Caenorhabditis elegans: one gene and its partners. The protein of the gene in region 1 purifies or fractionates together with the protein of each later gene. This does not show direct contact. Each region holds a gene or a part of one and is shown on either strand. Other genes may lie near its edges.

What was found. The genes of interacting proteins can lie anywhere in the genome.
Region 2: the proteins of F15E6.6 (region 1) and M18.3 fractionate together in Caenorhabditis elegans (co-fractionation; one large-scale study listed by BioGRID). This does not show direct contact.
Region 3: the proteins of F15E6.6 (region 1) and F52E4.5 fractionate together in Caenorhabditis elegans (co-fractionation; one large-scale study listed by BioGRID). This does not show direct contact.

Annotation. Positions count from the first base shown.
Region 1 is NC_003282.8:4,276,670-4,286,799, reverse strand, and holds F15E6.6 (Xanthine dehydrogenase), read left to right. Parts: upstream 1-2,679; 5' UTR 2,680-2,681; coding exon 2,682-2,781; intron 2,782-2,838; coding exon 2,839-3,072; intron 3,073-3,216; coding exon 3,217-3,527; intron 3,528-3,576; coding exon 3,577-3,712; intron 3,713-3,758; coding exon 3,759-3,881; intron 3,882-3,923; coding exon 3,924-4,024; intron 4,025-4,441; coding exon 4,442-4,642; intron 4,643-4,697; coding exon 4,698-5,012; intron 5,013-5,060; coding exon 5,061-5,160; intron 5,161-5,204; coding exon 5,205-5,401; intron 5,402-5,445; coding exon 5,446-5,750; intron 5,751-5,797; coding exon 5,798-5,888; intron 5,889-5,937; coding exon 5,938-6,107; intron 6,108-6,356; coding exon 6,357-6,978; intron 6,979-7,021; coding exon 7,022-7,254; intron 7,255-7,302; coding exon 7,303-7,834; 3' UTR 7,835-7,975; downstream 7,976-10,130. Other genes in the region: srv-4 (Serpentine Receptor, class T), read left to right, coding at 491-672, 1,184-1,273, 1,327-1,378; nhr-78 (Nuclear Hormone Receptor family), read left to right, coding at 9,089-9,151, 9,327-9,414, 9,682-9,747.
Region 2 is NC_003282.8:12,102,900-12,110,088, reverse strand, and holds M18.3 (Asparagine synthetase domain-containing protein), read right to left. Parts: upstream 4,232-7,189; 5' UTR 4,231-4,231; coding exon 3,814-4,230; intron 2,900-3,813; coding exon 2,731-2,899; intron 2,686-2,730; coding exon 2,552-2,685; intron 2,502-2,551; coding exon 2,053-2,501; intron 1,997-2,052; coding exon 1,738-1,996; 3' UTR 1,696-1,737; downstream 1-1,695. Other genes in the region: col-129 (Nematode cuticle collagen N-terminal domain-containing protein), read left to right, coding at 448-1,317; mon-2 (Monensin-resistant homolog 2), read right to left, coding at 4,669-4,965, 5,015-5,172, 5,310-5,494, 6,445-6,758.
Region 3 is NC_003284.9:3,084,133-3,090,276, forward strand, and holds F52E4.5 (Fucose-specific lectin), read right to left. Parts: upstream 3,214-6,144; 5' UTR 3,200-3,213; coding exon 3,097-3,199; intron 3,045-3,096; coding exon 2,944-3,044; intron 2,896-2,943; coding exon 2,743-2,895; intron 2,531-2,742; coding exon 2,336-2,530; intron 2,288-2,335; coding exon 1,850-2,287; 3' UTR 1,696-1,849; downstream 1-1,695. Other genes in the region: twk-16 (Potassium channel domain-containing protein), read left to right, coding at 1-35, 83-173, 232-343, 397-548, 609-883, 933-1,041, 1,087-1,204.

The DNA.
Region 1 (10,130 bases):
GGTTACTGTAGCTTCAAAAGTACGCAAACACCTAGAGATTGAAGAAAACTTCTAATTATACATCATGCTCGAGCAGAGAAACCAAAATGTTCCCGGAATCACATTAATAACTTAAAATGTAATGCCAAATCTAAAAAATATAAACATAAATAATATATTTTGTCAGTTCAAGAATGAATATTTCGAAAAGAAATTACACCTGTAGTCAAACGAAATTTTTTTACACACTTGAAACTTTTGAGAATAAATTTTGAAATGCATAAACTAAACGTTTTCTGTCAAAATAAAAAAAACCAGGTGTTTCTAGCATTAATTTAAAAATTTCTAGGTTACTCTAGCGCTAAAAGTACGCAAAAACCAAGTGACTGCGTACCAAACACCATAGGTTACTGAGAGCTTTCAAGCTGAAATTATTCGACAAGACTAATTGAATAACAGCGAATACAAACTTCTTACCTAAAATTTTCAGTTCATTCAGTATTACTTTCAGATGTCAAACACATTCTTCAGTATTAATCGATCGGAATCTTCAAATCTCAACCCACCAACAGACCTAATTATTTTCAAATGTGCATTTTTCTCATTTGTTCTGTTTGTGCCAAATTTCGCAAAAACAATGGTTTTATATTTCTCCACTAATCCTCAACTGGTGGATATTGGAACGGAACTTTGGTAGGATTTGAGAAAAATTGCTGAAATTCAAGTTTGGAACTGGAACTTTCCAAATTTGCATTCAATCCAAGAATCTCTGTCAAATTTCAGTGGAATTCCAAAAAACGAGAAGTCCCTAGCTTGCATTTGAAAATTTTGGGGCTACTGTAGCGTCAAGAGTACGCACGATTGCGTACCAAACACCGAAATTCACGAAACTGATTTTAAATGAAAAATTTTCAAAAAAACAACAATAATGAAGTTTATCCCGAAGTTTTGAAGAAAATGACTGAAAAATTACTACCAAATTCTAAATTTCACAACTCTTGTCAATTTGAAAGCATATTCTGAGAATCTTAAAACTTCCGGATCACTGTAGCGCCAAAAGTACGCAAACGCAGAATGATTGCGTACCAAACACCGTTTTTTGTGAAACTTGGAGCTTTCGAGCTTAAAATTGATGGATACGCAAATTGAAACATGGTGAATTTGAATTTCACATCAAAAAGTTACGAACATTTCATTTTCCCAGGTTCTTCACTACGGAAATAATGTGCATCAGTTCTCCGTGGAGCTTACTAGTGAGTAGCTCAAAATTGCGAAAGGAATTTATACCGAAAAGGTTGGTTTTTAAGAAAAAAAACTAAAAATAATTTTGAAATTTCAAAGTTTCAGATGCAGAAAACGACAGGAAAATATTTCTTCAATGTTGTCTACTAGATTTTAATATTTTTACTCGACTGCAATGTTTTTTTTGTGTTTTAATTTGTGAATAGTCTTGTAAAAAAAATTGTAAATTTTTAGAAAACAATTGTATATCAATTTGAAGTAGACAGTATGAAACCCGTTTTTTAACTAGAAACACTTTCAGAATTGACATGCTCCATCTTTTTTTCTGTAAGTTATAGGTCTGTTATCATCAATGTTGCGAAACTGTTTGCATAGATACCAAAGACTGTATTAATGTTGCCATTTTCTTTCTACTCTGATAATGCGAGCATGATTTTTGACGAAGGGTTGTTTGATATTATTTGCTCATTGACTCTCTTCATTAGGGAAATGATTAATAGTTTTTCAATGTTGTCGAATCAAAAATATACCTATTTTTTGGAAGTCGTCGATCAAAAAACATTTTTCTACCTGTTTTATGTTTTAATTATATTCATATTTCAAAATTGTAGGGGTTCGAAAAGACGCCTGTGCTTTACATTTTTAAAGTTTCAGTATTTCTTTCCCCAATAGCCGTACTCTGCCGTATAAGTTATGTTATGTAACCCAGCGGTGGGTGACAAACTGGCAAATTGCCGATTAGCCGAATTTGCCGAAAAAAAAGGCAAATTGTTGTTTTGCACATTCTTTTTTGAAGCTTTAGAATTTCAATTTTAGTCTGCGAAACTGTACGCATAATATGAATTTTTCTATATCTATTTAGAAAAATGAGGCAATTTTTTGAAAATATTTTGAAAAAACGAGGAAAAAACTTCAAAAAAGAACAGTTTAAAGAGATTCCATAAATTTTCGACTAACGGCAATTTGCCACAAGTAAAGATTTCCGGCAAATTGGCAAACGGGCAATTTGCCATTGTCGGCAAATAAATTTACCGAATGCCGCCCACCCCTGATGTCTACTATACTGTAATTTTTTTTGTAGGAATTCAGAATTTGAATTATTTTTGAAACTTTTTGATGGTTTTCAAAAAAAGAGGGAAATTCAAATTTCAATTTGACTTGTGAGTTGTATCCATATCCATAACAAACAACATTTTATTTACAAGAACATGATTTTCGATTACAATTATTCTCTTATCGCTTGAACGCCCATACTTGTTCTTTACATGCTTACATGTTTTAATTACATTTTTTGCCAATTTAAAATTGAACAATTCGCTTAAAGTAACAGTTAAAATTATTTGAAAAAAAAAACATATTTACCAACCCCAACTTGTTTTCCTTAATCTTTTCCTATTTGTATTAATCATGCACCCGAATGAGTCAATTGGAATTCAGTCATTTCTTTAAGCGGATTTCAGATGCCACCTACTGGTATATTCTTCAATGTGAATGGAAAAGATATTAAAGAAGAAAATGTGGATCCCGAACTAACATTGGCGTATTATTTGAGAAACAAGTGTAAGGTCACAATTATTTAAATGATGACGTTATCTGCCTAACGTTGTAATATTCCAGTGGGTCTTCGAGGAACAAAGCTAGGTTGTGAAGAAGGTGTCTGTGGATCTTGTACTGTTGTTCTTGGTACATGGGATGATTCTCTTAACAAGGCAGTCTACAGTGCAGTCAATGCATGTTTGGTCCCATTGTTTCATGTTCACAAGACTTTTGTGATTACTGTGGAAGGAGTTGGAAGTCGGGATAAGATTCACCCGATTCAGGATAGAATGGCTAGAGGACATGCGGTGCAATGTAGGTTTTGTGAGAAATCGTGTCTTCCCACATAGTCAGCCTCTAGGGTTTACCCAGAACGGATCTCGCTATTCCTTAGATCCTTGAGGCGGCAGTTCAACCTTTAGCAATTAAACATGCTTCAACCAGTACTTTCGGCTTCAGGCGGCTTCTGCTCACCCGGATTTGTAATGTCAGCATATGCGCTCCTCCGTAATCATCCGAACCCTACGATTGAACAAATAAATGCAGCGATCCGAGCTAATCTATGCAGATGCACCGGATACCGACCGATTCTTGAAGCTCTTTACAGTTTCTCGTCAAGTGGTGGAGGATGCTGTGGGGGTAAAAAAGCTGGAGCAGGATGTTGTAAAGATTTAAGCAGTGAAGACGAAGCGTATGAAAAACTCACTTCGTTCAATGATTTCCCAGAATATGATCCCTCGCAGGAAATCATTTTTCCGCCTTCGCTCAGAGTATGTTGAAGGTTTAGAAAAATACTAATAGTAAGAACTTTTTTTACAGATCTTTGTGGACTCTGAAAACCCAGTTACACTTAAAGGTGACAGGATTGAGCTTCTACTACCAAAAAGTATTGAGCAATTCAAAGAGTTCAAAAAAGATCGAACCGTCATTTCTTCCGGGCTTATAACTAGATTTAGTGAATTTTGCTACACAGTTGCCTAGAAATTAAATGCATTTTTCAGTAGCAACCCGTAACCCAAAAGAGTTTTCTCAAAAGTGGATTACAACCAAATATGTGAAAGAGTTTAATGAGGTCATTGAAAATCCAGAAACCGTGGTGATTGGTGCTGCGGTAAATATTCAGAGTAAGTAACTTAATTCTTCCTGGGAGCAAATCATAAATTCAGAAATGTCTGACATCCTCTCCAGATCATTAAGCCAAAATATCGGGAAAGAAGTCGATGCATTTATAAAAAAATTCTCCTCTCCACAGATTGCAAATTTTGCTGTGAGTTTTTTCAGAGAACGGAGTATTGTATTAACGTCGGTGTTACACCTATTTTTAGAGCACATTTGCAGCACAAAAACTAGATGACCCCCTTCATGATACTCAGTCTAAAAACCTATATTTTCTGCTGTCTCAAAAACTCTCTAAGATTGCGTTGTGCGCTGCATATAAAAAATGACCGCAATAAAATCCGTTGTTTTTTGAACAGAGACAATTTAAAGTTTATACATTCCCAACCTGACTGTGCCACCGTTTGTTCGGTTAAGCGCGTTTGCAGTTTCAAACTGCTGATGTTCCACCGTGAAAATTTCCATTAATCGCTCGTTTAAGCTATTGTGACCTTATGTCTCCTTTGTCTCGTAACATTAGCATTCAGTTTGCATTAATTGTTCACCAAGCTATCACAGTTCGTTTCAGACCTGGACTGGAGGTATCGTTTCTGGAGCCAAATCTTCAATATCTGTTAGCGACTTGCTGCTCCTGTTCAATGTGCTCAACGCTAAGCTAACTTTGCTCACCGATTCAGGAGATCTCACTCAAGTGAACATAGAAGAGTTCGTAGAGAAAAAGTTGTTCGCTACTAACACAATAGTCAATACCGTCTTCTCAAGTTCTATTGTAAATTATTTTATTTTGACTCGAGAATCAAATTATTTTTTTTTTTAAACTTTAGACTGGTCAACTTTTCTGCCTGAAACTCGGCGAAACCAGCGAACAAGATTCCACAAGCTTCAACTTTGCTGCTCTTGTTGGAAACAACATCAGCAGGATTTTCGTTGGGCTTGGCGGTCCACCAAAGCGGCTGACTTCCTTGGAAGAACATATTTTTGCCCTGAAAAATTTGGATGTGCCTGACCTTTGTAAAACGAGTGGGATGGGTGAGAACAAAAATATAAAAATTGCTCTCACGAGGCTCTCCAAATTTATGAAAAACGTGGAAAAGACAGCCGAAACAGTTGATGGATTAAATTACCTTCAATACTTCAAGGTAGAAATGAAACTATCTGAAATAAAACTTTAAATTTGTTGATTTCAGCCAACTGAACGCAAATCCGTTGGAAGGCCGCTTGCCAACTATTTTAACGAGCGTGCAATTACAGGGGAAGCTCTTTATGTGAACGACATTCAAACATATAGTACGACTGTATTAAAAGCAATCCAAAACAATTATTGATTTCAGATCCTGTTCATCTCGGTTTTGTACTTTCTACAGTCCCGCATGCTGAAATACTTAGTATAGATGCTACTGAAGCATTGAAGCTTGAAGGTGTTGTCGGTTTCTTTGGGGCTTCTGATGTACCTGGAAATAACTCGCCTGGTCTTCAAATTTCAAATATGAACCTTCCAGACGACGCTACTATATTTGCCGATAAGAAAGTGAGCGTGGGTTCAATAAGTTCAATTATTTGTGTTTTTGACAGGTAGAATCGGTTGGTCAAGTGGTCGGAGTGATCGCTGCGAACGATGTTCTTCTGGCGAGACGTGCTGCAAAATTGGTTAAGTTGGAGTATAAGGAACTACCAGCATTAGTTGAATTGAAAGATGCTATCGTAGCAAAATCACTGCTCGGAAAAGTTCGGCATTTTGGGAAAAGTGAATATTTGGTCAATGAAAGTTTGGTACATTCTTACAAAGTTTTGGAAGGAGAATCAAGCCTTGGTAGTCAAGAACACTTTTACTTGGAGACTCAGAGCAGTTTGGTGATTCCAGGGGAGGGTGATGAGTCGTAAGATGTCATTAAATTTGAGAAAAAAATTTATCTTAGAATTACAGGATTGTGCACTGCTCAACCCAAGGAACAAGTTTCACTCAGCTAATGGTTGCCGAAACAATGAAAATCCCAGCACACAAGATCATCGTAAAAGTTAGTAAGAAGATTATTTGACATATTAGATGTATCACTTGTGTTTTAGACAAAACGAATGGGTGGTGCATTTGGTGGGAAGTTGAATAATGCTTCCTGGATTGCATGTATATGTTCAGTTGTTGCAAAGAAGCTCAATCGTCCAACTTACGGGTATCTTTCGAGGGAAGAGGATTTGGCAATTACTGGGAAGCGGCATGGGGTTTATACAAAATATAGGTTGGTCAGAAACAAACGGGGCTTTCTAGCACCCATATTAATCAAGATTGGGCAAGCAAGTTTCATATAATATTATTATGTTTAAAAAACCAAGAGCATCTGCAAAGAATTAGCTTTTCTGGCCATAAATAGTCCCACAACCCACCGTAAGTGAGCCCACTTTTTTTATTTGCTTAGGTATCCCTTGACAAATTCACGAACATCTTTCGGTTTTCCCAGCTGACCTCTGCATCAAATTATTTTTTACAGAGTAGGAATAAATTCCGATGGAAAAGTACAAGGAATTCACCATCAGGCTTGGCTGAACGGCGGATGGTCTAAAGATCATACAGAAGGAGTCACAATGGTTATGGGTCAATTTGTGGATGATGTGTATAATATGGGAACCGTTCGATATGATGGATACCCGGTTAAAACCAATACGAACAGTAATACTGCTTTTCGAGGATACGGGAATCCACAAGCGAAGCTCGTTAGTGAAGGCGTGATGAGAAGAATTGCGCGGGAAGTTGGGAAGAGCACGGAGGAAGTTAAGAAACTGAATTTCGCATTCGAGGGAGAAAAACGGTACCTCAGTGGGAACATTTACAGTGATGCACATATCGAGTGTTGGGAATATTGTACCAGATGGAGTGATTTTGAAAAGAGAAAGGAAACTATTGAAAATTTCAACAAAACATCAAAAATTGTAAAGAGAGGAATTGCGATGTCATCAGTCCGTCTGGCACTTTCCCATCCTGGTCCACCAGGGCATGGTGTAGCGAGTCTTATGATCAATCTAGATGGATCTATTCAGCTATCAATTGGTGGAACTGAGATGGGTCAGGGACTCAATCAGAAAATGCTACAAGTCTGCAGTGAGGCGTTGAAGGTTCATAAGCACACATCAAACTTCACTTATTAAAATATTCCAGAGACCAATAGATACCATCACCATTGTTGACTGCAGCACTGACAAAATAACGAATGCTCCGGAAACAGGGGCAAGCCATAATGCAGATACAAATGGGTTGGCAGTTTTGGCATGTTGTGAGAGGATAATGTCTAGACTGCAACCGATCATTGATAAGAACGATGGTGATTGGGAAAAATCAATTCGAGATGCATATGGAGCCTATGTTCCATTGCAGTGCACAGAATATGGATCGTAAGTCGTTCCTATCTGATCCTGTAGAATTTGAAATATGTATTTCAGGGTTGACCGGGAAAAACTCAGCATTGGTGAGTTTGAGTACCCTTATAATACAACAGGAGCCTGTGCAGTAGAAATGGAAGTCGACACAATGACTGGATACAACCGTCTGCTCCGTGTGGACATTGTCATGGATGTCGGAGAGAGCTTGAATCCTGCCATCGACATTGGACAGATCGAAGGAGCATTCATGCAGGGATACGGGCTCGTCACTTGTGAAAAAATAACTTTCAATAAAGAAACTGGACAACTGAATCAAAACTCGGCGGGACAATACAAAATACCGAAGTCTAGTGATGTTCCGAAAGACTTTAGAGTGAAGCTCCTGGGTATTAACAAGGCAAATGGAGCAAAAGTATACTCATCAAAAGGAATTGGTGAACCACCACTGATGATGTCATGTGGAGCTGTTCATTCGTGTATTATGAATTGTATTGATGATTGGAGAAAGGAGAATGGAATCGATAAATTTGTGGATACAATCTCACCACTCAGCGCTGACAAGATTCAAGAGCTCTGCTCGTGTAATAACTAATGATGTATGTTATTCTTCGTTTTCTCATGTTCAAAATAGTTAACATTTATTAAATAATCAGTAATAACACACATAAACTATCTGACGTCCGGAAATCATTGACATCACAATCATTTGAAGAGTAAAATAACAAAAAAAAACAGTTCGGGTGGGACTCTTGATCAAGCAGTTCCAGCAAATATTATATATCTAGAAGGACCCCCATTGCCAAAGCTGTTGACACCCGAGACCGAATGGGAGAGTCAACCCATCGGGTGAAAACGACGTATTCCAATACGCGCGGAGGACACGGAGCAACTGTCAAGCGGCGAGTGAAGATGAGCGGTGCGATGAGGAATAACAGTACACAGTTTAGACGAATCCCAATTTATTGGTGGAATAAAAAGGAATGAGACACACAAGATAGAATTAGGTAAAGATCCAGGGTCAATCCATCGTCGGTTGGCTAGCCGACGATGCGTCTTGGCGACATCGTAGAGAGTGAATGAACGAAGTGGCCTAAAAGGGCGAGGCAATTATTGTGTGGATTTACGGGCAACGATTAAGAAAAATTTTGGTGGGAAATTCAAATTTTCTGAAAAAAAAACATTTTTGGCGGGAAATTCAATTTTTTGAATGATTTTTTGCGGGAATTCAAATTATTCGAAATAAAATTGTATTTACAATTTTCTGAGATAATAGCATTTTGGCGGGAAATTCAAATTTTGCGAGAAAAAATTCTGGCGGGAAATTCAAATTTACTTTTAAAAAAAGACATTTTTTGCAGGGAAATTCAACTTTTCGGAGGAGGTTACTGTAACTGACAAACACAAAATTATTGCGTGCCTTATTTTAGGGCATTTGAAGATTTTTGAGCAAAAACTGACAAGTACCAAATAATAGTTGGAGAATTCCAATTTCAAATTAAAATATTAAGAAACGCCTGGAAATACGCAAATAATTCCTCTCCAGGTGGCCCAATCTTCTCAATTTTTTTATACTCTTCCCAATCTCTAATAACTGGTCAACATCACCAGTACGTACTCTAGCCATAACTGTCTAACTGTCCGCCACCCTCTCGCCCCTCTGCGCTATCTCGCTCGCCACAATTGATTGCTAGAGTGTAGCCTCAGTTTTTAGTCTTTTATTGTTTAAAATTGGCTGTAAATTGCTATTAATTTTATTATATTGATTTTGATTATCGAATTTTTGGAGAAAATTCAAAAAATTAAAATTTGGGAGTACTATTTTGAATTTTAATTAAAAATTTCAACTATGAAATGTGCAATTTGCGACTCGGTAGCTCTTTCGCTACACTTTGGAGCTCCAAGTTGTAAGGTGAGTGTTGAGATTTTCACTGAAAATTTTTTTAAATTTTGAACAAAAGAAAAAATTTGTTTTCGAAATATTTCAAGATAAATTTTTTATTCAAATTCTAATTTTTTGTTTCAATTTTTAAATACTGGCATAAATTGTTTTTTCGTATTTTTTTTAGTAAGAAACACATTTTCAGGCCTGCGCCGCATTTTTCCGCCGTACAGTTGCTCTGGACATCACCTATGACTGCATCACTGGAACTTTGGATTGTGAAGTTAATTTTGGTAATAATTACTTTGAAAATATTTAGAATTGACCGAATTTATACAGAATTATCAATAAAGTTTCACAAGAAAACAGCGGAAAAAACTCGAAAAAACAGCGAAATTTGATAGGTGGCCTAACTCATTGAATTTCTAGGCTATCACAGGATAGTGGTGACCTAGAAATGAAAAACTAAATAATTTGTCTCAAGATTCTTTCACCCCTGGGATCACATAAATTTTCAAAAACAATTATTTCTGCAAATTAAAAAAAAAATAAAATTTCAGAACGACGAATGGCCTGCAAACGATGTCGATATCAGAAATGTATTGATAATAATATGCAGAGATATTGTGAGTAAAACATAATTTACAAATTAAATTTTTTAAAAAATTAAATTTGTTAAAAAATCCGAAAAAAAATTTTTTGGGACAATTTTCTGAATTTCGAGATTTTAAAAACGTTGTGAGTTTTTTATTATATTTAAGCTCAATTAATGAACACTAAAACTTTCTAGCACAAATTTGAAGTTATCTGGATTACTGTAGCCCCATAAGTACGCAAACACCGAGTGTCCACGTACGAGACACCTTATTTTACGACATTAGGAGTTTTTTGACTGAAAATTCAGGAATCGGCTAAGAAAATAGTGAGGAATTCAAACTTTGCATTAAAAATAATAAAATATGAAATTTTTTTTAAATTTATGCACAAAAAAATGTCAAAAGTATACAAA
Region 2 (7,189 bases), 7.8 Mb from region 1:
CTGAGCTAAAAACAATTGGCACGTCAATCTAGAAAAAGCCATTTGAAAACTCATTTTTTGAGAAATTTAAACTGTTTCAGATTTATGAGGTTATTCGAGTAATGTTGCAAAACGTATTTAAATACATTTATGACGTCACAGCTGTATGAAATTACATGTTTTTATGTATTTTGATACAGTTGTGACGTCATTTTTCTACACTTTTTAATTTTGTGAGACAACTTGAATAACCCATATAACTTGACATTTGTCAATTTAAAAATACGAAAACACTACTAAGCATTTTTCATTTTGATTATATAGTTAAGATACTTTCATTCAAAGAGCTCTAAAATTCATTTTTCAAAAATTTGGCAATTGCCAAAACTTTTACTGAAAACTCTAAGAAAAAACATTTTAGACGTAACTGCATAAATTAATAGATTTTCTTAAATTCCGACATTTCAGGACGATGCTAATACCGTCTGGCACCAAATGATGACTGTTGTCCCACAAGGAGGCAAGCAACGTCAAGTCTACGAGTCCCTGTTCGGTCGTACCAAGCGTCAAGCTGCCCAATGTAACTGCGGAGCCAACTCTGCTGCCAGCAACTGCCCAGCTGGACCACCAGGACCACCAGGAGCTCCAGGAGAGGACGGAGATCACGGATTGGTTGGAGAGGATGGAACTCCAGGAGCTGATGGAAACCTCGGTGTTCCACTTTCTGCTAATGGATGCATTGTGTGTCCAGCTGGACCACCAGGACCACCAGGTCAACCAGGACAGAATGGACAACGCGGAAGTGATGGACAACCAGGACAAGATGCTATGGGAGGAGGACAAGGAGCTCCAGGACCACAAGGACCAGCTGGAGATAATGGACAACCAGGAAGACCAGGAAATGACGGACGACCAGGAGCTCCAGGAGCACCAGGAACTCGATCTGTTGGACGCCCAGGAACCGCTGGATCTCCAGGACCACAAGGACCACCAGGACAAAACGGAAATGACGGTCAACCAGGAAATGATGGAGCTCCAGGACAACCAGGACAGCCAGGACCAGACGGACACCCAGGACAACCAGGAAACGCTGGACCACCAGGAACTCCAGGAGCTGCTGGACAACCAGGAGGTGATGCTGCCTACTGCCCATGCCCATCCCGTTCCTCAGTTGTTCGTGCTCAAGCCGCTGTTGCTCGCAACCGTCACGTCGCCGCTAGACATCGTTCGGTTTCCCGTAGAAAGGCAGTTGCCGCCAGAAGATCCAAGGCTCGTCGTGTTGTTGCTGCCAAGCACCGTGCCGTTGCCAAGAGACATCGTGCCGTCCAAAAGGCTTAAATCATTCCTTTTCAGTAATAAACATAGATTGCATTCAATTTAACATGTTTTCCAATATTTACAAGAAATTCGTAACATCAATACAGAAACCTACAAATTTATACTTGAAGGGGAAATTTTCTTGAATATATTCTGAAACGACTTGAAATGAGGCGCATTCAAATACAAGGTATGAAATAATGTAGTGTTCTGTTTGATTAAATTTAATCCAAGAGTCTACGAGTTTTGGAAGCGAAAAAACTAATTATTTGCAAAGTTACCTTGAAAAACTTAAACACCGTTTTCGCCTTTTTCGATCACTTAAAAAAGGAAAAATCTACATTTCTGCTGAAATTACATCCTCTTTATCATGTGGAAGAAAGTTATTATTAACAGTACCCAAATTATCAATTTATTTTTCAACAAGTAATCATTCAAACATCAATTCACATCAGTTTTCAATAAATGCGGAGATTTATCACTTCCTTTGATAGAATTATCACCAGCGTTGCTCATTTTTGCCATTCTCGATCCAAATTGCATTGCCTGTTTCGGAGCATCATATGGGGATCCCAACATTTTCACTGTCTCTCGGAGCAATTGTTTCTCTCCAACTCCACGTGGCAATGATAGATCCCATTTGGAATCGACTGGAAGTGCGTTGAGCCAAGTGACTACGGTATCTTCGAGAAGTGGAGATCTGAAATATAACAAAAATCATATTATTTTTTTTATTAGGAGATTTTGAAAACTTACAAAATGGTCTTCCCAAGTTGAGCAGCAACTCTAGCATCTCTTCCTCCATTTCTCGATCCCAGCCTTCGCAATTCATTTTCACATTCTTCCGCTACATTTTCTGGAATTTGTTCCTTCTCAAATCGAGTTCGATGCCTTGCGTATCCGGCAAGAAGTTCATCTGCTCCTGATCCCAGAAGGCATGTAGTTGCAGGTGACCTCACTGATTGTTGATTCTCACTATCAACTCCTTCGGCTCTGACAGCAAACCACAGAACACAAGACAGTGAGTCATCAAGTACTGAACTCGCTGGTTGAGCTGCATCTGAGATAGATTCTTTGCGATTCACTTCGAGGGTTTGGCTATCAACGTTGACAAGAATGAGGCGAAATTGGCGAGTTGGGTATGCAGTTCGAAATGATTCCAGCGCCTTTCTGGCACGTTTACGATCAGGTGCTTGTTCACATTCCTATAAAATATAGATTTATTATTCGATATTAAATTAAAATAAAAACTCACTTTCTCACTATTACCAAATGCCACATTAATTAGATCAATTTGCATATTCTCTGGAACACTTGAATGTACAACATGAGCAACAAATGTAGAATCGACACCTCCAGACAAGCATACTGCCACGTGGCTTTCATGATCTAAAGTTAGATGTTATAAAAGCGATTTCATTAGAAAAAACAAACAATTTTTCAATAGAATCTTAGTCGCATCGATAACTTTTTGAAAGAGATCTTTGGTATTAAATGAGTCAATTTCTCCTCCAGTTGATCTACTAACATTCAATAATCCATGTTTCTTGTTGACCACAATTCGAGAGATATCCGACCCAGAAAAGTAGCCATCCAATACATTCTGTAATGATATAGCATTTATTGTCAGAAATAAGTAATAAATGCCTAAGCATCAAATATAGTAAAACTTTTAAAAATATGGAATTGTTTTTTCAACTAATTAATTATATTTTTATTTGTATTAGGTAGAATATCGTCCGTGGGGATTTTGTATAAATATCAATGTTTTGGTAATTTGTATTAAATTTGGACGTTTTGAAGAATTTCGAGCATTGTGGCAGGTTTGAACTCCTATTACGGGAACACAAAATTCTGAGAATGTGTATTTATTGCGAAAAAATTTTGACGCGCAAAATATCTCGAAGCGAAAACTACATCAATTATTTAAATGACTACTGTAGAGCTTGTGGTGATTTACGGGCTTGAAATTCGATATGATTTTTTTTTCGAATATCGACAGTGATTTTCAATTTTCGAAAAATTTTCCTTCGTTTCTTCGTAGGATTTTCTAATTTTTTGCTGAATTTTGATATTCAATCGATAAATAAAGTATTTTTGTCATTTCGAAAATCGAGCCCCGTAAATCGACACAAGCTCTACAGTAGTCATTTAAATAATTACTGTAGTTTTCGCAACAAAATATTTTGCGCGTCAAATATGTTGCGCAATATGCATTCTCAGGTTTTTCATAATAGAATGTTTGAAAAAAAAACCATACTATGATTAGAATTCAAAAATCGTAGAAAACCACTTTTTTACCGACACATCCGAAATTATAATGAAGAAAACGAGAATTCACCAATTCTTGCTTGAAATTTGAATTTTTTAAAAAGTTTCTATTCGGACATTTCAACACTTTACGAATTCTGAAAATTTTCCGAATTTCAGCAGTTCATCGGAAAATTTTCGGTTTTTTAAAAAAGAATATTCAGGCAAATTCTCCACTGGCGGTACTTCATATAAAATTGCACAAACCTCTGGATACTCGTCAAGATATGAATAAATAACTGGATCAGTTGAATCAAGACTAAAAACAGTCACTTGTCCGAATGGAATTTCAATCCATTTCCCAGATGTTTCTGGCTTTGTTCTACATCCAAAAATCATCGATTCGAAATTAAAAACCAAAGATTGTCTTCCAAAAACATCTCTTCCAATGAAAAGTTTTTTCAATTTCTGATTATAATAAATAATGCTCCAGGATCCTTGTTGCTCCAGAATTTCATTAACAATACTATTAACTGATCCATTTGAGAGTTTTGAAACATGAAGTTGTGAGGTGGTTCCAGAATAAACAAGATAATCTTCTTCAATCATTTTGATATATCCTTTTAATTCCTCGCCCAATGTTTCATCCTTTAAATGCCACCATCGATTGTAATCAATGCCCATTCTGAATTTCAGTTCTTTTTCCAAATTTCATAATAACTGGCAATAAGAAATCTCAGAATATTGACAGAAAAAAAAAATAGTTTCAAAGTCATTGCATTTAAAATTGGATAGTTTTATTACTACAAAGAATGAAAAAGACACTATCTCACAACATAATAGTCCGGGATATCGATTGAAGTAAATCATCATCAAAAAAAAGAAGCGGGAAGTGTTTTTGCGTTGAATCACAGAAAAAAATGAACTCGTTATTCTGAGGGTACTAGTACTCGAAACTATACAAGATTTTGAAGCAAAAAAAAAGAATATGAATAAAAATAGGATAAAGGCAACTGTGTGTCGATCGATAGTCGATAATTTAATAACCCATATGCTAAATGAAGACAGAGTGAAACTGGAACCAATAAATAAAATAAATATGGCTACTGGAGGGTGACGTGGCTATTCCACGGTGGCTTGTGGAATATTTTGAAGAAGGAAGAGTGTTTGATATGATTTGATTGTCTTGATCAGTTGATGTTCCAGTTGAGGATCAGCATGGCAGCAAGGCATCACATCAACAACCGATGGAAATAGTGAAACTAAGTGCGAGTAGAGTTCAGTCATTTTTGGATCTCTTGCAAGTCGTGCAATTAGTGAGTCAACAGCTTGAAGTGCAGATATGATTTCTAGTATTCTGGATCTAGGTAAACGAAGATCTCCAGCAGCAGACCAATCTTTGCAGAAATCAGACATAACCTAAAATCAGAGTAGTTTGTGTCTTTATCGGACCTATTTTTGATCCTACCTGTGTGCATCTTTGTAAAAGACTTGTCACAGCAACATTTCCAAGAATTCCTCTTCCTTCGTCTTCTTCAGTATTTGTATGTGCTCCATCAGATGACATCAATAGAGCATCAAAACAGGCCTTTGCCAGCTCATTTCGTTGAGTATGCGAGTCTGAAGCTGAATTCGAGGGTTGTTACCGAGTACACCGAAAACATGCAATCAGAATGGAGAAATGTGGAAAGGAATACCAACACCAACTAGTTTTGTGAGAAGTGTTAGAAGTAAAAAGAAGACGATTTCTCTCGAGCACTTACCAAGAACATCTGTAGAATCGATTTGTGAAATGGAGCCACGATGAAGTAGTGCAATCAGCCGTTGAACATCTTCTTGTGGTAAACGGGATGCATATGCGAGCATTTCACTTCGAATTATTTCAATTGCCTGACATTCCATTAGTTCATCACGTTTTCTTTCGTCTGCTGCCAGTCTCGTTGACTTGCTAGAACCGCAGCGAAAAATCAAAGATTAGAATTTTAAATTAATTGCATTTCTATTTAAGCTATATAAAGAGTGAAAAATTTAAAAATTTCCATAACGAAAATTACATATTTTCAATAAAAATATATAGTTTTCTTTTTTTCGTACATTTTTCAACACAAGTGTTTTTTTTTCAAATTTCTAACAATCGATGTTTTGAATTTCTCTGAAAAAAATTCGAAAAACCGAAAAAATTGAAGAATATTTTCGATTGAAACTATTGATCCATATTCAACATTTAGCAATTTCGCCCAAAAACTACGGTACCTGGTCTTGACACGACCAGTTTTTGCAAATACAAGAGACTATTCGTCTTAAAGGATTACTGTAGCTCACGATTTAAAAAAAATTCTATTCAAGTGAAACATAAATTTTAAAGGCAAACAACGCCGGGTTTGGAACGAAATACAGCTGTAGAAAAAATATAGAAATACTTCTAAAATTATTTTTTTTTAAACTAAAAATGCTGGTTTTTCGAGTCTCAAACAGCAAAAAAAATATTGCGAGCTTTTGCGATTTTTCCCTCAAAAATACAGTATGTGTACCTTTGAAAAATCAATTTTTTTTTGTTTTTTTTTGAATTGTAGTCATTCTCAATTTTTTTAAAATTTGAATTAGTTTGTAAATTTTGATGTTTTGATTTTTTTTTTCGAAATATGAGACTTGGAAAATGTATCTAAATGTTCTTAATTTATCTGAAAGTCATCGAAAAAGCTTTAATCTAAAATTAGTATGTATATTTTTGAAACAGAATTTTTTCGATAGTTCAGAAAATCAAGCATTTGAAAGAAAAGTTATTTAAATGTTTCTTTCGAATTAATACTGAAGAAGCCTTCTATTACACCTATACTAATTTTCCCCATGAGACTTTTTTTGTTGAAAATTTCCAAAATCAAATCTAAAATAACTTACTTTGGAGTAAAAAGCCATCTTTCCATAGTATCACAAATTGCAGACCATAAACCTCGAAAAACTTCTGGATTCTGACGAGCATATGGAATGGATGTTCTCAAGACAGACATCAGAGAAGTTGCAGCAAGTTTCCAAGTACTTGCAGAGATACAAGTGTACTTCATGTAAAGTGGTTCTCCGAGGAATTTTATGATATCAATAGCAATGAGCGAGTTGGCAACTTCTGGATTCTGTGATGTTGAAGTAAAGAATTCGATTGCAATTCGGAGAGAATATTCGGAAAATGGAACAATTGTAGTCAGGGCGTAGTCTCTCTGAAAATTTAAATTATTTATTCAAATTAAATAATTCTTTGCTTTGTTATACCCAACATGGTCTCAGAAGGGCGAATTTAAAAATAATATTTCTCAAAATTTCGAAAAAAGCCAAATTCTGCTAAAATCTTATTTTTCAAAGAAATTTATATTTTTCTTATTTTTTTTCTTTCGCATAACCGTAATACGATAAAAATTGAATGTTTTTGGTACCAACTGTGGTTACTTAATAAAGATTTTTTTTTCGATTTTTCGATTTTCCCAGCGAAAAAACAAAAATATTCCGTCTATCGATTTGTCTAAAATTGAAATTTTTTGACAAGCATGTAAATTAACGCGAGATCAACTAATAAAATATGTACGATTTTTGCGAAATTTCGTTTTTTTTTTGAAATTTTGACCTGTCATAATTGTTTTTGATCAGCACCTTT
Region 3 (6,144 bases), on another chromosome or scaffold:
GTGCATTGGATTGGCGATTACAACAATTGCTATCAGTTAGTTTTTAAACACTTGTGAAAATTATCATCGTTTTTTGTTTCAGATATTGGTTCTGAATATATGAAAAAACTTCACTACTGGGGCAAGAAAATGAAGAATGCCGCGCAGACAAGAATTTGGTTTGGTGGAAAAACGTAATTTTATTTTTATTTTTGAAAGACCACATTAGTTGAATTATGTTAAAATTTTCAGTTTAAAAGTCAGAGACCTCCTTCATGCAGTGGGTAAGAAATGTGGCGTAGAACCAGGAATGATTGATGCATTGGATTTGGAAAATGTTGTAGAGCGGACAATTGCTATGCAGGTTTTTTTTTCAAATTTTTTTTGCTCATACAAATTTTAAAAGTAATTTTTCAGGAAGGACGGGAGCCGCCCGAGGATTTGAACGATGAGCCACCACGTGAGCCATCTCCTCGTTCAATCATTCATTCACCGTGTTCCACAAGACCATCGAATCCTCCAATGAGCCCACCATCTCCACGAGAAGACCACCCATTTATATTCAAAATGTACTGCAAAGCCAATTTATATTTCTGAATCTCTCATTTTGAGTGTTCTCTTTTTTTCAGGGATGCTCCTGCTCCTCGAAGCCCATTACCATTGCCGGCATATGAATTGGATATCAAAAAGCCGATATTTCAGGCATTGTCCAATGAGTTTATGAACCAATCGGCGCAGGAGAAGTTGTTTAATGATCTCGATACTTTTCAAATTGAAATTAATACTGAGCTAGTTGAGGATCATAAATGTGAAAGTGTTATCATTATTGAACCACCAGCAACATTTGAAGACATGACTATACAACACAGTCTTTGTGTTGAAGATTATGAGAGGGAAGAAAAAGGTTATTGATTATTCGATGATTGTTTTATTATCAAATCAACAAATTTCAGTTCCGAAACGATTCCGCGAAAAGAAAGAAATGTATGGTCGAGACCCGCGTAAACTGTATGAAACTTATCAAGAGGAATGGGATAGATTGGAACGGTTATCAGATAGGAAGTAAGTTGATCAGATTGATGGACTTCAATGACAAAACCAATTAAGGCACGGTCCGAGAAGGAAGTCAGTTTTGAACTTATCAAACTGTTCACCGGAACGAAGTGTTTCCCCATCTCCGATCAGGCATTCTTTAACTGGGGAGGGCCACAGAAGAGATTCGTAGTCCTGCGAAGAGTTTTACAAATTGCCGCAGATTTTGTATTTTGTTTAAATAAATAATGTATACATATTATTACTGCATTTTTACAAATTTTGATTTTCAGACCAATGTGAAAAAACTAGTTGAACATATATTCCGTTGATACACAATTTTGCAAATAGAACAGAAAAAGTTTTATTTCAGAAATTTCGAGTTCCAATTATGAATTTATAATTTTTTTTTGAGGGCATATTTTGAACTACTGCCTAACTGCTGTGGTAATTTTAGCAATTATCAAAGTTGCTGACTGCCGAAAACGCCAATTGTCCAAATGTTTGTAATTCTATAAACTCGTGGAGTTTAGAGCTTCGGATATTTGAATATTTGGGGCAATTCAAGTTTGAATTCTTTCTCAAACTAATAAATGGAATAAAGTTTACTGCGCATGATACAGTATTAAATATCGATATTTTAGGTAAAAGCCGACAAAACTACAATTCCAAATAAATATTAGAATAACTGTACTGAATATTTATTCAATTGTCAAACATAAAACTTACTCCCAATCCAATTATTTCAATTTTATTACTGGCAGAAATTATTTCAGAGATTCCCATAAATCACAGTAGGTTAAAATATAATTTTAAATACATTAAAACATTAAACAATTTAGATCGAATCAAGTTGAACTTTTGATACTGCAGCTTTGTTAACAGTGTAAAGAGTTGAACCGTCAAAAATATGCTCTCCCTCTTCGACAGTTTGAGGAAGTTGGACCCACTCCAAAGTAGACTTATCGTCAAAAATGTTTCCTTTGAGAGCCCAAACGGCTCCGTAGAAAGCGCTTCCCGTCATTCCTTTTTGAACACGGCCACCAGCGACAATGAAAGAATTGGTCTTCTTGTCAACAAATGAGCAGTTTGGACCAACGAAACCGTATTGGGGAAGAGAACTGTACTCTCCTTCAATATCAACATGACGAGCTGTTTTTGATTTCAAGTCAAAAACGAAGAAACGAGTTTTCTCCCAATTGAATCCACATCCATGAACAGCGTAGCTAATGAGCACTTTGTCATTGACAGTCTCAGCAATTACTGGAGATCCTCTCTGAAAACAATTTTTAATATTATAAAATTCTTGAACAATCTTCGTTACCAAATGGTTGTCATCAGAGTGAATTTGCGAGATGTTTTCGACAGTAGAAGAAGCTCCATTGACAGTGAGAGAATAGATTTGAATGTGACAATTGTCGTCTTTGAGAAGAAGAATAGTTTCACCATTTGAAGAAGTTCCAGCAGCAGCGATAACTTCAAATCTTTGAGTCTCAGTGAGGGTTTTGGTTTCTGGGGCCTGAAAAAACATTGTGGTGTATATCTAATAAAGGATGATGGTTCGAAAAAAAGTCAATTTCCAAAGCTTGTTCATATGCTGACAGTCTATGGGTCTATACGTACACTTTAGGTTTATATGTACCATATCGAATTTTAAACTAAAAAAAAAACTTACAGAAGTAATACTTTAAATTAATTTTGAAACAAAATTCTAATCACAGAATCACTCACATTTAACAAAACCTCATTGAAAGAATTACTATCCCATCTGAACAACTTTTGGAATCCAATTGCTCCAAAATTGACAAAAGCGAGAAGATAAAGCTGATTGTCACGAACAAACAACACTTCTTCCGAGTTTTCTTCGCTTACGAGCTCCGGGAACTGAAATTGTTTAGGTCTGAAATGACCAGGAAAACAAGGCAAACTCACATCATGTCTCTCCCATTTGTTGGATTCCTTATCAAAAGTCAGAACGTAAGTTCCTGCAAAAGCCACGCGATGTCCCCAGTTGTGATTTGGTTGAGCGACGTCTAAACAAGAAAATTGTTCTAAATTTGAAAAAAAATGTATATAAATGCTCACATTTGCGCCCCACCAAAGTCAACTTTCCGTCTTGAACGAACGAATAGTGATATTCGCATAGCTCTCCGTTGTTTCCAAAACCTTCAGCAATTTTCTCAGACATGATCAACTGAAAACATACATTTTAAATCAAAAAGAATTAGTACAAACATCTGAATATAACAAAAACGGAAGAAAGTTTATAAACGCGGCAGGTGAAGTCGGAAACCAGGAAGTAAAAAGAGAAAAAGGAAGATGTTCTGGGCAAACGGCCAAAGGTTGAACTCAATTCGTTCTTCTATAGAATTGACGGTTCAAAAAGACATTTAGACATAGAAGTCCTTAGAAGATTTCTAGAAAACTGGTTGCAAAACATATTCGCAAAACATTACGAAACGACTCTTTGCCGAATAAAATGAAAAATTTATAGAACATAATTGGACATATAATATTTTATGTGAGGTTTCAATAATATATTCTCAACAACTCAAAAGAAAACACATCCAAAAATCGATAAATGCGCAAGGTGAGAGGCAAAAATGGCTTAGAGAGCGGTGTATTTCTATTGGGGAAGTCCAGTTTTATACGTGTTGTTTGCCAGGTGGCCAGTGACTCATTGTGGGAAAATTGGGAGAATAAACAATATTGCGAAATCAAATATTCTTCATGAAATTTCCATGGAAAGAATGAACACTGTCGGAAAATATTGTTATGTAATTCTCACAGTGAACAACAACACGATTGTCCAAAAAAAAACTTTATTCATAATACTGCAAAGAAGGGTGAAAGTGAATCAAAATGGAACTTGACGTATTTGGTCAATAGCAGTAGTATTTGCTGCGAACATTTACGGGGAATTTGGTATTTGCTTTTGTCTGTGTACTGTAAATACAAAGAAGTTTTGATCAAAAGTAGAAGTACCTACTTTAAAAGTGGTAAATCTGAAAATTAAACAGTTTGATGTCTTGTAGGCTACCAAAAAACATCAGTTATACAGCATAAATTATGTTATTGTACTGAAAATAAAACATTCGAGCACATTGTTAAATCATAGCTAATCTTTATTTCGGCAGTGACCAAAATGGATATCCTCTGATATTTTCAAAGCTGCGGACTTCTGAATTTTCGAAAAAAAAAATTCATTTTCAAGAATATACAGATTGCAGGTTTTATAGATTTTGAGACACAAATTTATGTCAAACAGTGTTTTTTTAAAGCTCAATCAATTTAGACTAAATACGCAATTACCATAATTGGAAACCAGGCAGTAAGGATCTGGAACGAGAATCCCAATTTCTAATTCCTCTGAAATTAAATTCAATGTTTTGTTCTAAAGACAAAACTTTGGCTTATGTTGGTTTTTCGCTATAGTGTCAAAATATTTGAATATCATAGTAAAAGTTTTCAAAATTTTTTTAAAGTTTTCATTTACTGTCGAAAAGTGACAATCGCACGTGGTGTCAGAATGTCCCATTTCGTTGTGATCTACCAAAACTGCGGGAATTTAGACGCAGACTTCTCAACTGGTCTCGCATGGTTAAGAATGAGCTGACGTCACATTTTTCGGGGAAAAAATTCCCGCATTTTTTGTAGATCAAACTGTTATGGGACAACCTGACACCACGTGCAATCGCTCAGTTTTTGCACTCATAACTTTGGAAGTCGACCAAAAAAAAAGTTCTACGATTTTTATACTTTAAATTTGATTTAATTATTTGTTGTAAAACATTTTAGGGGTTAGAACATGCAATATTGCTCTGTGTTTCCTCAAAAGCTCTTTTTTGTTATTTGGCAGATTGCTAAAACATTAAAAAAATCTAAAATTTTCTGGTTGGTTTTATTATAATCTCCGATTTTTTTCAAAACATAAACATAGTTCAAATAATGGAACAAATCTATATTGTGAACAAAAGTGAGGAAAAATTTTATAAGTTAATGTTGTAACAATAAAGATTACAAAACTATTTCCAAAGTTTGTCTTCTCTCAGATATTTTTTGTTTCCATACACTATTTTAGTGCAAAGAGCAAAAAAATTTTCAACAAAGTTTCTGAGAGAAATTCTAGAAAATGTTACTTTGGAGTGATTTGGGAATTTTTAAAGTTTTGAAAATGTACCATATTTTGCATGTAGAATGCCACATTTTTTATCAAAAATGAGCCTAATGTTTTGAGAATTTTTAAAAAATCCTTTCGATGCATTTAAACATTTTCTATCAGGTTTCTACTTATATCGTGTTATCGTTTACTTTTTCCTTTTCAATTTGAAAAACCAAAGACATCACTTTTGTTATTCTCTCTACTTTTTCTTTTGAAGAACCTTGATTCGCAGGACATGTTTCAATGAAGTCGGAGAAGGTAAGAGAAAAGTGACAAGTGGTCTACAACGTTTGTTTTCAATTTGCGACACTGCACGCACAAAAACGCTCCGTTGAGAACCGATTTGATCTTGCTCTACGGCGTACAGTTTTGTGTTGTTATTATGTTGTTTTGATGTTGTTTCGATGGTCCGTCAATATCGACTGTCCTTCACAGTTAGTCTTCGAGCGGTGGTCTCTTGTGTCGCCTTTTTTTCTCATTTGTCCTCCCCCCCTTTACCACTGCGCAAATAGATTTGGGATCTAATGTATGTAAGTGCGCTCTACCGCAATCAATGGGTTTCTCCAAACAAATGCCCTTGCCATTTGAGAAACGAAACAGAATCTCTTGAAAACATTTCTGATAACCGATTCGTTTTAGTTTTCTACAATCAACTTCAAAGAATAATCATTATCTATCGATTCACTGATATAATTCTCGTGTTGTGACCTTATCAATCGACAAACAAGTCGATTACTCTGAATGTTCACATCAAAAACTCCTCACCCGTATTGCCGGCGTTAAAGTGAAAATCTTGAAACGATGGTAAACTATTATTTTTTGTTTTGTTGCCTACGTGCTGGCCCCCGACGTGTCCATCTCTATCTCTCTTCCCCGTGACCGTGGTGTGCACTGCTGCCGGGCGCGTTTCTCCCCGTCCTGTTCTCCTCACATCCCTTTCTGCGCGCTGCAATCTTCTAAATGTCACGCAC